2 linked regions of the Drosophila melanogaster genome follow. The protein of the gene in region 1 purifies or fractionates together with the protein of each later gene. This does not show direct contact. Each region holds a gene or a part of one and is shown on either strand. Other genes may lie near its edges. The genes, in order: CG8839 and CG1227.

Region 1 (7,460 bases):
ACAGGTAAGCGCTGTCCAAAACTATAGGTTGGATGAGTGCTTTGGCTTGGCGTCGGTCCATGCGTTTGTCATAGTTTATATTTAAGGCCACCATATCGTGCAGCACGCCGTTAAGGATCAGCGATTGCAGGCGGGGAATCCTGAGCGAGTCCATCAGCTGGGTCATGCAACTGCCTTCTACACTGTTACAATACGCCAGCAGACTTTTGACCGCGTCCGCGATGAGCGTAATGCTCACTAAGGGAATTTTTGAGCTGAGAACATCGTGGGTCCGCACTATTTCCACGATCAGCTCCATTATGTGCCAGTTGTCGTTTGTGCAGCTGAACAGCAACGGACGAATCAGCTTCATGCAATTTTCCAGCAGAATTACCAAGGCGCTCACCACCTTCACTTGCTTGGGGCGTGACGGAGGATCGAACCTGTCCGCGTAGCTCAGAGTGTTTCGGCGCAACAAGATGCGCTGCTGCAGCAGCCGCAGGCAGGCAATTAGTGCCCGGTTCACATGTATCAGGCTACCGTCAGTCATCGTTTGCAACTGAACCAGATGCAAGAATACGAACGGTGGCTGCAGAAAGTACTCAGTTGGGTAGTCGCCCATACGGATGATCAGTTCGGTGAGCTGCAACTGCAACTCAACGCTATTTCGTGGCAAATCAATCATGCTCTTCATGGTGGCCACATCGTCCAAGCACGGATGCGACCAGGAGGGCTCGTAATCTTCCGGTTTCAGATTGTCGTAAATCTGATTCGAACTGCTGTCTGCGGATTCAGTTGCCTGACTGGGAATGTCATTTGAACTAAGGCTGGAGACGCTCGGCGTCACCCGGTCTATGTTGTACTTCTCGAGAAGCAGCAAATTCATATCATCCAGCAATTCGCTGACCCGCTTGGACTCCTGCTTGTGTAGCACACGGCGAACCTTCTGCAGCTCGGCCTTGAAGCGTTCGTAAGGAATCTTGCGAATCACCGCCTCGGCGTACTCGGATCGAAGGAGTTCCATAATCATGGCCAGCACACGGTCGGGCACCAGCGGCGGTGTGTACCCGAACCAGCGGATGAGCTGCTTCAGCAGCAGGACCGGCTTGAACTGTATCGGCTCGCCCAGTTGCAGGCACCTGATGAATCTCGTCTCAATCTGGTCGAGCGCGCGCATACGGATCTCTTCCGATTCGCTAGTCAGCTTGGTTAGCTGCCCCTCCGCCAGCTGGAGGGCCGGGCTCTGTTTGGTACTCATTTCCTTAGACTAATAATACCCGACTTTTAGTTCGTTTTCACTTCTCTTCCAGGCAGCAAACGTTTTAGGATGTCATTTTTGAAAGCGTCAAACTCGAATTTTGGCTGGCGTTGCCACTCTGCTTGAGTGTGCGTTCCCTGCATAAGGGTCTAAAAATACTAAACCTATTAAAATAGTATTTCTCCACCTGACACCTCGCATCAGCAACAACGAACAATATTCCGCATCAATCTTTTATTGCTCCCTAAGAATTAGGTGCTTTTCACACATAATAAACAATTACTTGAACCTAATCCCTTTTTTGTTGAAGAACTTTTATTCATCTAATTGTTTTATTTTTATATTATTTATATGGTTTTACTTAATAATCTTATAAATTATGCCTCTGATATTTGCCTTATTTCACCAAAACTAAACTACGCGTATTAAATTGCCATATTTGTCTATCGATAATTTGGTCGCAACCGAGTTTGTTATTTCCCAGCATGGCAAGCACGGTCACGCTAGCGCTGTAGGTTTAAAAAAAAGTCGCCCATCTGATTGGACTTGAGTTTGTGCTTAGCGGGTAAATAATAGAGTTTGTTTGCCGCTGCGGTGGAGAACTAGACTTTTCTCTCTGTGTGTGTGTGTGTATAAATGCTTATCTTGGGTTTCATATCGTTTTGTTTACGTGCCGCTCTAAAGTGTAGCTGTGCGATTGTGAATACAGCCAAACGCTTTGTAACCGCTAATCATTGTTCGCCAACCGGTTATTTGCAATTTAAACTTCAACAAAGTGCTATTTCTGATCATTCTTATCCTTGTGACCCATTCATTGTTCCATTTTGAACAATAAAAAGGCTCCCTCGTGACGTCATCGGTTGGATTGTGTTGTTTTAAGTTTATGTTTTTGTTTGCTTTATTTTTGAGGCAAACAAACTTTACTCACACATACATGTGCACAGTGTACGCACATAGTGCCAAATGACACTTGATGAATTCGTAGTGCAAACAAAGCATATGCTGGAAATGAAAATGGAAATAGCGAAATGATGTCACTGGCGCACGCCCGGGTAACTCCCTCGCCCCGATGCCGCCCCTACCACACCCCAGAAACCATTTCGCCGGTCGCAACCTTCGCTTTTCCACCTTTTGCGTACATATATGTACATATGTATATCTCACCATCCAGTTGGAAATCAATGGCCCGTCTACTCTTTTCTAATTAGAAATGGCATGCAACTGCGATTGACATTCCGATTGGATGTCGCTCGAGTAATTTACAATTGAATATTTTGGACACTGAGCCAAAAAGGGGAGCTAAGCAACAAGTTCATTATTATTTATGGCTAATCTTATCGGATTGGCCACTTAAGTGCCCGATTATTGGACCATTATCGTCCCGCATCTCCACCCATTGAACTTCGACCGACTGAAGCAAAAAAGATTTATATTGCACCAGGAAAATGTTTGCCATTTGATTTGTGTCACTGCAACCCATTAGTATCAAACTTTGAATGGCTTATAAAAGATATTCCATTAAATATTATGAGTGAGTTCTAGGAACCGGCCTCATGAGACTTTGAGCTATTAAAGTGTGAATTTCTATTTGTAACTTTAAAATACGAAAAACCCGGCTCTACTGAACATTTCTGGCTTACAAACCAATTTAAAATAATTGCCATTCATTATACAGAGTGCTTTGAACTTCATATAGCATGCTCTTGGCAATTTTACCCATTTTATTCGTTTGTTATTCAAAATCACGGGCAGACAAATTGTCACCACCCCCCCCGTGAATATTCACCCCAACCGCAATTTGAAAGTGCGAACTTGATTATAATGCACTCACTGCATTCAAAATTCGAATGTCTGGCAGTTCAATTAGCAGACTGCGATATGTTGAAAGGCATTCTTAATAGAATAATCAAATCGTAACAACATATTATTCTTATTATTAATATGTAGATAAGCACATTGCGATAGGAAGTGGGAACTTTGAGTTCCACTAATCATTCACGAAGCACTTTTCGGATTGCTCAAAACCGACTATTTCAATTGTTGCTCTATTTTTTATGGCAAACGAATGGCATAAACAAACAGCTTCGACCTGTGACTCACTCCGCTTATCAGTTGGTTTTTTTTTTTCTGTAATACCATTTGGAGTACTGATGTGGATATGGTTAACGACCTGGCTGTTTAGTGAGCTGACGGGGATCGGCTTTTCGGCTATTCACCACTCTCCGTGGTCTGCTTCCCTTTGTGCCATTATCTTCTCGTGTTTAAGCAGCGAATTAGCTGTCTGATGCGCACTCCTGATAAGATAATGAGGTAAATCCTGATTCTGGCCGGGCATATGGCTCCCTTAAACATTATACTGCCCCGATTCCAGCTCTATATATTAACCATATATCTATGTGTGTATACATATATCCAATTCCATACAAGTTTCCATTGTTCGTTTTTGTAAACAGTGAAATGTTTACGAGTTGAACAGTAAAGTCATTTGTTTAAACAACCTTTTCCAGAACAGCGAAGTATTATGCATAGGCTTCCTTTGGCTTTTCTTCGTTATCCGGAAATACACGTTTTTCCCAATACAATACGTATATTGTCATTATTTGCTGAATTTTAGTGCAATTTTCAGTTACTTTATTTGTTTTGGGACCAATATAATGATCGCGGTTTCCTACTCTATGTATGCACTTTGGAGAAAAGTTCTACATTTCGAATATAGATTCCATATTTCCTATGTGCCTTTATGAATCCATCTATCCATGAGTCACACACAGGTGTGGACTTGGCCTATCTGGGAATGGGACGGCTCAATTAATTGCCGAGTCATTAAACCTGAGATGTGTGAAAAGAACTACAACTATGAGTACTATATTTATTTTTATTAAAATTGTCACCAATTTCATTTATTATTGTAGATAAGTAATGCTAAATACTATTCGAAATCATGAGACTTTGTGGCATGAAAACACGAAATAATTCAAGACACATAAATAGAAATTTTCCGTTTCGATATGAAACGTTCATATATTGCGTAAAACCCATTATATCCATAAAATGAATTGCCGACTTAAATGACTGAATTACCAATCATAAATCCAGAACGAGGTATTTTGACCCAATTTTATATTTCTACTGATTTGTTGTTTATTTTTTACTTTTGCTATATAAGGTCTTATAAAAGTTGCCTGATAAACCAGTTTAAATTGCAAATAAACCACATTCATGAGTGCCTTCCTTCATTTAAGTATATTTAACATGAATTTTCAATGCATTTATTTCATTTTTGTTATCGTTTCAACATTCCAGAGCAATAACACATGGGCCAGGGCAAAGTACACAGCCACCAACACCCGCAGTTCCAATTCTGAGTCCTAGTAGCTGAGCTTCTTCAGGCGCACATTCCTTAGAATTCCACAAAATGGCGAAGAGCGTGCCACTGACCCAGGCCATTGGTGGTTACATTTTCGGCATTCTCCAGGCCTGCATTCGCTTTGTTTTCCGGCTGATCTATGGCCAAAAGGGTGAGAGTGTTCCACCGATCACAGATGCCATTCTCTTGGAGTCCGCCACATCGTTGGCACGGAAAATCCGCAAACAGGAGGTGAGTGTGTGCAATCGTTTCATCTACAAAACACCTAACTTTCACTCATCTTGAGCAGCTGAGCAGCGTCCAGGTCTTGGAATCATTTATCCGGCGCATCAAAGAGGTGAATCCCATTCTCAACTGTGTCGTGGATGAACGTTACGATCAAGCTCTCAAGGAGGCAGCCGAAGCAGATGCCCTGATCAAGTCTGGACAATACAGCACGGAGGAGTTGGAGAAGGAGAAGCCCTTCCTGGGCGTGCCCATTACCACCAAGGATTGCATATCCGTCAAGGGTGCGTAGCTCCCATAAGTTTCTTAATTGGATTACCATTGCTATAGCTCAATCATGTGTTTGGCTTTAGGCATGCTGCACACAGCTGGACTCTTCGAACGTCGGGATGTGCGTGCTGCGCGGGATGCGGACGCTATGGCCTTGATGCGCAAGGCGGGAGCCATTCCCATAGCCCTCACAAATGTTTCCGAGGTGTGCATGTGGTGGGAGAGCAACAATACGGTGCACGGCAGGACAAGGAATGCCTACGACACTAACCGCATTGTCGGTGGCTCCAGCGGTGGCGAGGGCTGCATACAGTCGGCGGCTGCCTCCGCCTTTGGCTTGGGCTCCGACATTGGCGGCTCCATTCGCATGCCAGCCTTTTTCAATGGCATCTTTGGCCACAAGCCCAGCAAGTTGGTCGTCTCCAATGTCGGTCAGTTCCCAGCGCCCTTCAGTGCCGAGCAGAACTCCTTCCTCGGCCTGGGACCTATGTCACGATTTGCCGAGGACCTGCGACCCATGCTAAAGATTATGGCTGGCGAGAAGGCGGCCCTGCTTAATCTGGACGAGGATGTGGACCTAACCAAAATGAAGTTCTTCTACCAAGAGTCCGATGGCGGCGGCCGCTTGGTTTCCGCCGTTGATCCAGACTTAAGAGAGGTAAGATAAATGACCTTCTTTCTTAATTAAATCCTCTAATCTGAAATCTTTCTTGCTGCAGGCCATGAACCGCGTGGCACAGCACTTGAGAGAGAAGTTCGGCAATCAGAAAGTGGAGCGCATCCAGCTGCCCCACTTCCGGCAGTCGGCGGCCATTTGGTTTGCCAACATGCGCGACGACAGTGGCCATGGATTCGCCTACCAGCTAGGCAACCTGAATCATGACATCAACACGTACCTGGAGCTCTTCAAGTGGTTCTTCGGCGCTTCCAAGCACACATTCATTGGCCTGTCGACAGCTATCATGGATAGTGCACAGTGCAAGCACGGATCTCCCAAGTACGATCATCTGGTGCGCAAACGAAATGAGCTGAGGGAGGAGTTGCAAAGCCTGCTGGGCGATAATGGTGTGCTGATCTATCCCACGCATCCCACGGTGGCTCCATACCACAATGAGCCCATTACGCGACCCATTAACTTTGCCTACACTGGTATTGTCAATGTGCTGGGCTTCCCGGCCACCGCTGTGCCGCTGGGCAAGCTGGGCAGCGAGGGTCTGCCACTGGGTGTCCAAATCATCGCCAACTTCAATCAGGATCGACTTTGTTTGGCCGTTGCCGAGGAATTGGAGCGAGCCTTTGGCGGTTGGGCCAAGCCCGAAGTTCGGCTCTAGGAGCAGTCTCAAACGTGCAAGTATGCAGCTTAGCTAGCTTTTAGATAGTAGTGGTCAGGTTAACGTCCTGGTCTCCCCCCACCCATTACTAACTACCCCTACCCACCCGAGCATTCGCCTGGCGATGAAAGGTATTCCTTGTGTACTCCAGTGCCTCATTGTAATATCAATTTTCGATGTGGATTTATCTATTTTGTATGTGTTTTTAAATGTAATCTAATCATAGATCCGCGCGGATCCGTTCCCGTTTTGCATTTATAATAAATAATTGCAACCAACTGATATCTTTGTTTTCATTAATTGGCGACAGGCGCCCATTGACCAAACAAGCAGAGAAGTCAGAATTCTGAATTCGAAGCCAACGCGTTTTGTGGCTAAACAAATCTTTATTTTGAAAGACCAACCTTAAAAATATGCCGACTCACCGCCTCAATTGCTTTTAGTTTGCTTTTGTTTTTTAAACATTTTCATTCGGCAAGGAAAACTAAACCCACTACAACTAGCGATATCATGGATATCGTATTCACATATGTAATTCCGATGCTCCTCTCATTCTTCGGCAACGAGTTACATTCGTAATTTGGTCACTTAAAAACTACTCGGCTGTGGGCGGTTCGGCAGGGCAATCCTCGCTAGCCTCTAGCCCTTGCCGCCCAGCGACAGGATGAGTTTCAGTAGCTCGGTGCGCTTCGCCTTCACGGTGTCGATGTGCAGCGACGGCAGTCCGTCGATCACCTCGTATCTGTTTAGGTAATCGGCAATGTGGTCGGTCATGCAGATAACATGGATGCCACAGTCGTAGCCGTTCGCCTGCTGTAGGCAGCGCATGGGCCGGAATTTGGCCATTCGGACGCCAAGCAGGTCCTTGATCTTGTTCATCAGCTCCAGGGAGTTGCCCGTGTTGTTGTTCCCATACGAATCGAAGTGATAGAAGGTCTTCTCCGGACGCGAGAAGACCAACAGTGACCAGTGGCTGCCACCAGCATCGGTGGTTTCGTTGTCGTTCAGCGCGAAGAAGATAAAGGGCTTG
Region 2 (3,980 bases), on another chromosome or scaffold:
CGGCAGATTGAAGTCGAGTCCAAGAAAGATGAGCTGAAGAAGCGCCAACGGGAGACAGCAGCTTCTTCCGGGAACGTAGACAATGTTCGCCTTCAACAGTCCCTCAACAAACCAATTTCCGCCGACAACAAAGGATTCCAGCTACTGGCCAAGATGGGCTACAAAGCCGGTTCTGGGTTGGGCATAACTTCGGATGCTCGTACTGAACCCGTGGGGATAACTATAAAGAGCGGTCGTGGAGGACTTGGGCGCGAGGCAGCCGTTGCAGAGTTGGCCCTCAAGCGGCAGAAGTTGCGGAGGGCACATCTCCTAAACAAGGCCGGCATTAAAAGCGACGAGGAAGTCAGTACAGAGGCTTATAGGAGGCGCGCGACCCATAAAGCGGAGGAGCGAAAATTACAGTATGACATAAAACGGTGCCAGCAGACCTGCGAATCGTTGGATCTTAAGTCCGCTATCACAGAACCAGATCTCGATTTCTTTTGGCCACCTAAACCAAAAGATGAAGATGAATCACAGAGCGACGCCGACGATCCTGAAGTCGAGGTGCCACCTAAGCAAGAACCATACAGTCCCTCGGAGCAATTAGAACTCCTCACTGGCTACCTGCGCACAGCCTATTGCTTCTGCTATTGGTGTGGGACCCATTACGATGACGCCGAAGATCTGGGCTCCAACTGTCCAGGACTCACTCGTGACGAACACTAGCTCCAATCAATAAAATAAAATAAAAAAACTAGCTTGATTGCTTACACATAATTTCATAAAATCAGCAGGTTTAAAATATTTTACAATAAGTAGTCAAAAAACAGTAAGCGGTGTATCTGGTTTGGAGGAATGTCTATAAATGAGTTGTAATCCAGTTAGTGGGAGCTACAAGCGACCCTCCAGTTTCTGTATCAGATCGTGGGTCCTTTCGATAACACTAAACACGAATGGCCGTTCCATTGGATCTGTTCGCAGCATGTACTTAATTAATTCGTGCATGTCCTAGACAAATATTTGGAATTAGTTTCCTTTACAATATAAAAAAAAGGTTTATTACCTCTGTGTAAATTGAATCCTCTGGAATGTTTATGTTCCCACTGAGCACAGCCAAAGCCACGCTGTCACCTCGCTCGTAGATGGGATCGTAGGGTGAATTAAAGTAGCACATTGCATAGAGCACACAGCCAAGACTCTGAAAGAGGGAAATGTTAAGGAAGAACTTCAATAACGCTCTCTTGGATCTGCTTTACCCATATGTCAGTGCGCTCGTCAATTGTGCAATATGTTTTCACGGTAAATAACTCTGGAGCCCGGTAGACAATGGAGCTCCTCTCCTCGGCTTCGTCCTGCAAGCGCTGAGCATCCGTCTGGCCCACAATCTGCAGTCGGGCTTCTGTCATTGACCCGAGATCCACAATAATTGGCTCAAAAGAGTCCGACAGGCAGATGTTGGCCGTTTTTAGATCTCGGTGGGCCAGAGGCACCGGCATTGCCTCGTGGATGGCCTTCAATCCCTCGCAGACGCCCAGAAAGATTTGCAGGATCTGGGCCTCGGGCATGTGGTCCTGTTTCCGCGATCGCAGCTGAAGGTGGTCCGCAAGAGATCCGTGCTTGTAATAGGGAAGCACAATGAACAAGGTGCTCGTTGTGTTTATAACTATGTCCGCCTGGCCCTTCAGCTCGTAATCCACTACCCGGATCACGTTTTCCGAGTCAATTTTTCGACAGTTTTCGATTTCTCGCAGAGCTATATTCTGATCATCGATGCTGTGGCAGGTGATGCGCTTTATCGCATAGCTACGTCGCGTGGAGGCGTTTTCCCCAAGGTCGATTAGACTGAAGCCCCTGTTTAAACACTCAGATTAGATATATCAGAGGAGATAGTGGGAAAAATGTGGTACAAACCCCGTCGCCAGCCTTTCGCGGATTGTGTATCGAGATCCGTTTATGTTCAGGGTCTCCTTGCGGCAACTAAAGAGGCAGCCGCGTTTCATGATCAGCGTCCATCCTATACTCTGCATTTTTCTTAAATTATGCTATGTACTTCACAACTTTAAGCTTAACAACTAGTTCAATTCACATACAAAATCTAAATAGAAAACACAAAGCTGAAGTGGAATGTTTATACTGGAACGAATTTATGAAGTTCGGTGATTTTTAACCATATTTGTAAGATTCTATATTAACTTTAACTTTAAAAACTAGGCACTTTCGTATTATTTTTACGATTTTAGTTTCTTGACGTATTAATAAATTAATATTTATTTTGATTCCTTGGTGTATAGATTAAAGGAATTCAAGATTCTGTCATCGCATAATCGCAATTTCACTGCACTCCAAACAGCTGATTCGAAGACAGGGCGGTCATATTTGCCATGTGGCTGTGTGCGTTGCCACCTAGTTGCGAATTGTTGCTTACGGATTTCTTATCGTGCGGAATATAAACTTAGCATTTTTCTAATTTAATCAATTATAAGTATGGAGGATGACGCGTGGCTGGACCTCGTGGGCATCAGCGCCGATCCGCCCAACAGACGCAACAAGTGCGAGAAATGCAAGTGAGTGGTGAAGCTGGGAATCTGCCATAAAAATTAAAGTATTTTCATGAACTCTATTATAGACGACCCGTGGTTGTTTGCTGGTGCCCGGCTTTACCGCATCCACCTGAGGCGGTGTCCTCACAGATTGTTATACTGCAACACCCTGCAGAGGAGAAGAGATCGCTACGCACTGCACTGATGCTGCAGTTGGGTTTGGAACCGGGAAAATGTGTCGTCTACAAAGGCAAGCGGTTTCCAAACCATAGAAACCATGCTGATCTGCAGAGGATTTTGGACTCTCCACAAACACTGCTTCTGTATCCCAGTCGGGACTCGGTCCCACTGGAAGAGGTGGACCACAGTGCGGGTCCTTATACACTGGTGCTCATCGATGGTACCTGGCCTCAGGCTAAAGCCATTTACGCTAGCAGTCCGGCTCTACACCGCCTGCGACAGGTGAAACTCATCGCCGTGGGTATAAGTGACTACATCATCCGTACACAGCCTACTGAAGGATGCCTTAGCACACTAGAGACCGCTGCGCAATGCCTGGCAGTGCTGGAATCTCGGCCAGAGCTGAGGCAAACGCTCGTGCGACCGCTGCACACGCTGTGCAAGTACCAACTAGACAACGGAGCCGTGGAGCACCAGTCCAAGGAGTTTCTATTGAAGAACAACCAGTACCCCAAGCCCATTGGCAAGCGGCTCAGCCGTCTGCTTAGAAACACCGCCTGCGATGGCAATGAGGAAACGTGATAGCCGGGGCAGAAAATACCAAATAACTTGCAGGTGCCTGTGCTTTATAGCCAATTTTGTGTTCCGGTCGTAGCCGTATTTGATTTAGTGACGCTAACATTATAATTTTCTACTGATAAGTCCGAGATGTGACCTTTGATGTTATTCATACAGTGGGTTTGTTTCTAGCATCCGTGAGGGCTCTAGTAAACACGCACTTGACGATGGCATAGCCCCGCATGCAAGCATTCGTCTCGTCCTCTGAGGATTACACATTAAAGATTTCGTTTGTAATTAAAAAGTTCTGCCTAGAACACTCACTGCCTTCAGCTTCGCAGGCCTCAACGGAATCGCCAGTGGCTGGCCAAACATATTTGCGCACCAGATCCGTATTTAACTTATAGTCCGTCATCAAACCGGACTTTTCGAAAAAGCAGTGAAAATAGCACTGCAAGTAATCTTTGAGTATCGGGAGGCGAAGGATCTGCAAAGCACACCTACCATGCTGGTTACCTTATCCTTGTCATCTGGCAAATCCCCAGTGTTATTAAACTGCAAGACATTGGCTGAAAGAGGCGATAAATGTAGTCATATATTGCCTTCGTTAACCTTTGCACTCACTCATCGACGTTATGAAACTAGCATTGCAGTTACGATTAACCTCGTCAAAATCTACGTAGTCAGCCTCTCTAGGAGCTGAAGTGGTGGTGGATATGT

The links.
Region 2: the proteins of CG8839 (region 1) and CG1227 purify together in Drosophila melanogaster (affinity purification with mass spectrometry, with the first as the bait; one large-scale study listed by BioGRID). This does not show direct contact.

The regions. Positions count from the first base shown.
Region 1 is NT_033778.4:12,338,863-12,346,322, reverse strand, and holds CG8839 (uncharacterized protein), read left to right. Parts: upstream 1-1,705; 5' UTR 1,706-1,863; intron 1,864-4,226; exon of another isoform or gene 4,227-4,339; intron 4,340-4,392; exon of another isoform or gene 4,393-4,478; intron 4,479-4,540; 5' UTR 4,541-4,652; coding exon 4,653-4,835; intron 4,836-4,893; coding exon 4,894-5,113; intron 5,114-5,182; coding exon 5,183-5,757; intron 5,758-5,818; coding exon 5,819-6,430; 3' UTR 6,431-6,713; downstream 6,714-7,460. Other genes in the region: ana3 (anastral spindle 3), read right to left, coding at 1-1,237; Den1 (deneddylase 1), read right to left, coding at 7,070-7,460.
Region 2 is NT_033777.3:7,247,412-7,251,391, forward strand, and holds CG1227 (uncharacterized protein), read right to left. Parts: upstream 2,328-3,980; 5' UTR 2,010-2,327; coding exon 1,894-2,009; intron 1,834-1,893; coding exon 1,239-1,833; intron 1,181-1,238; coding exon 1,046-1,180; intron 991-1,045; coding exon 874-990; 3' UTR 740-873; downstream 1-739. Other genes in the region: CG10053 (uncharacterized protein), read left to right, coding at 1-708; Dtwd2 (DTW domain containing 2), read left to right, coding at 2,467-2,546, 2,609-3,284; Obp84a (Odorant-binding protein 84a), read right to left, coding at 3,430-3,524, 3,585-3,711, 3,765-3,829, 3,885-3,980.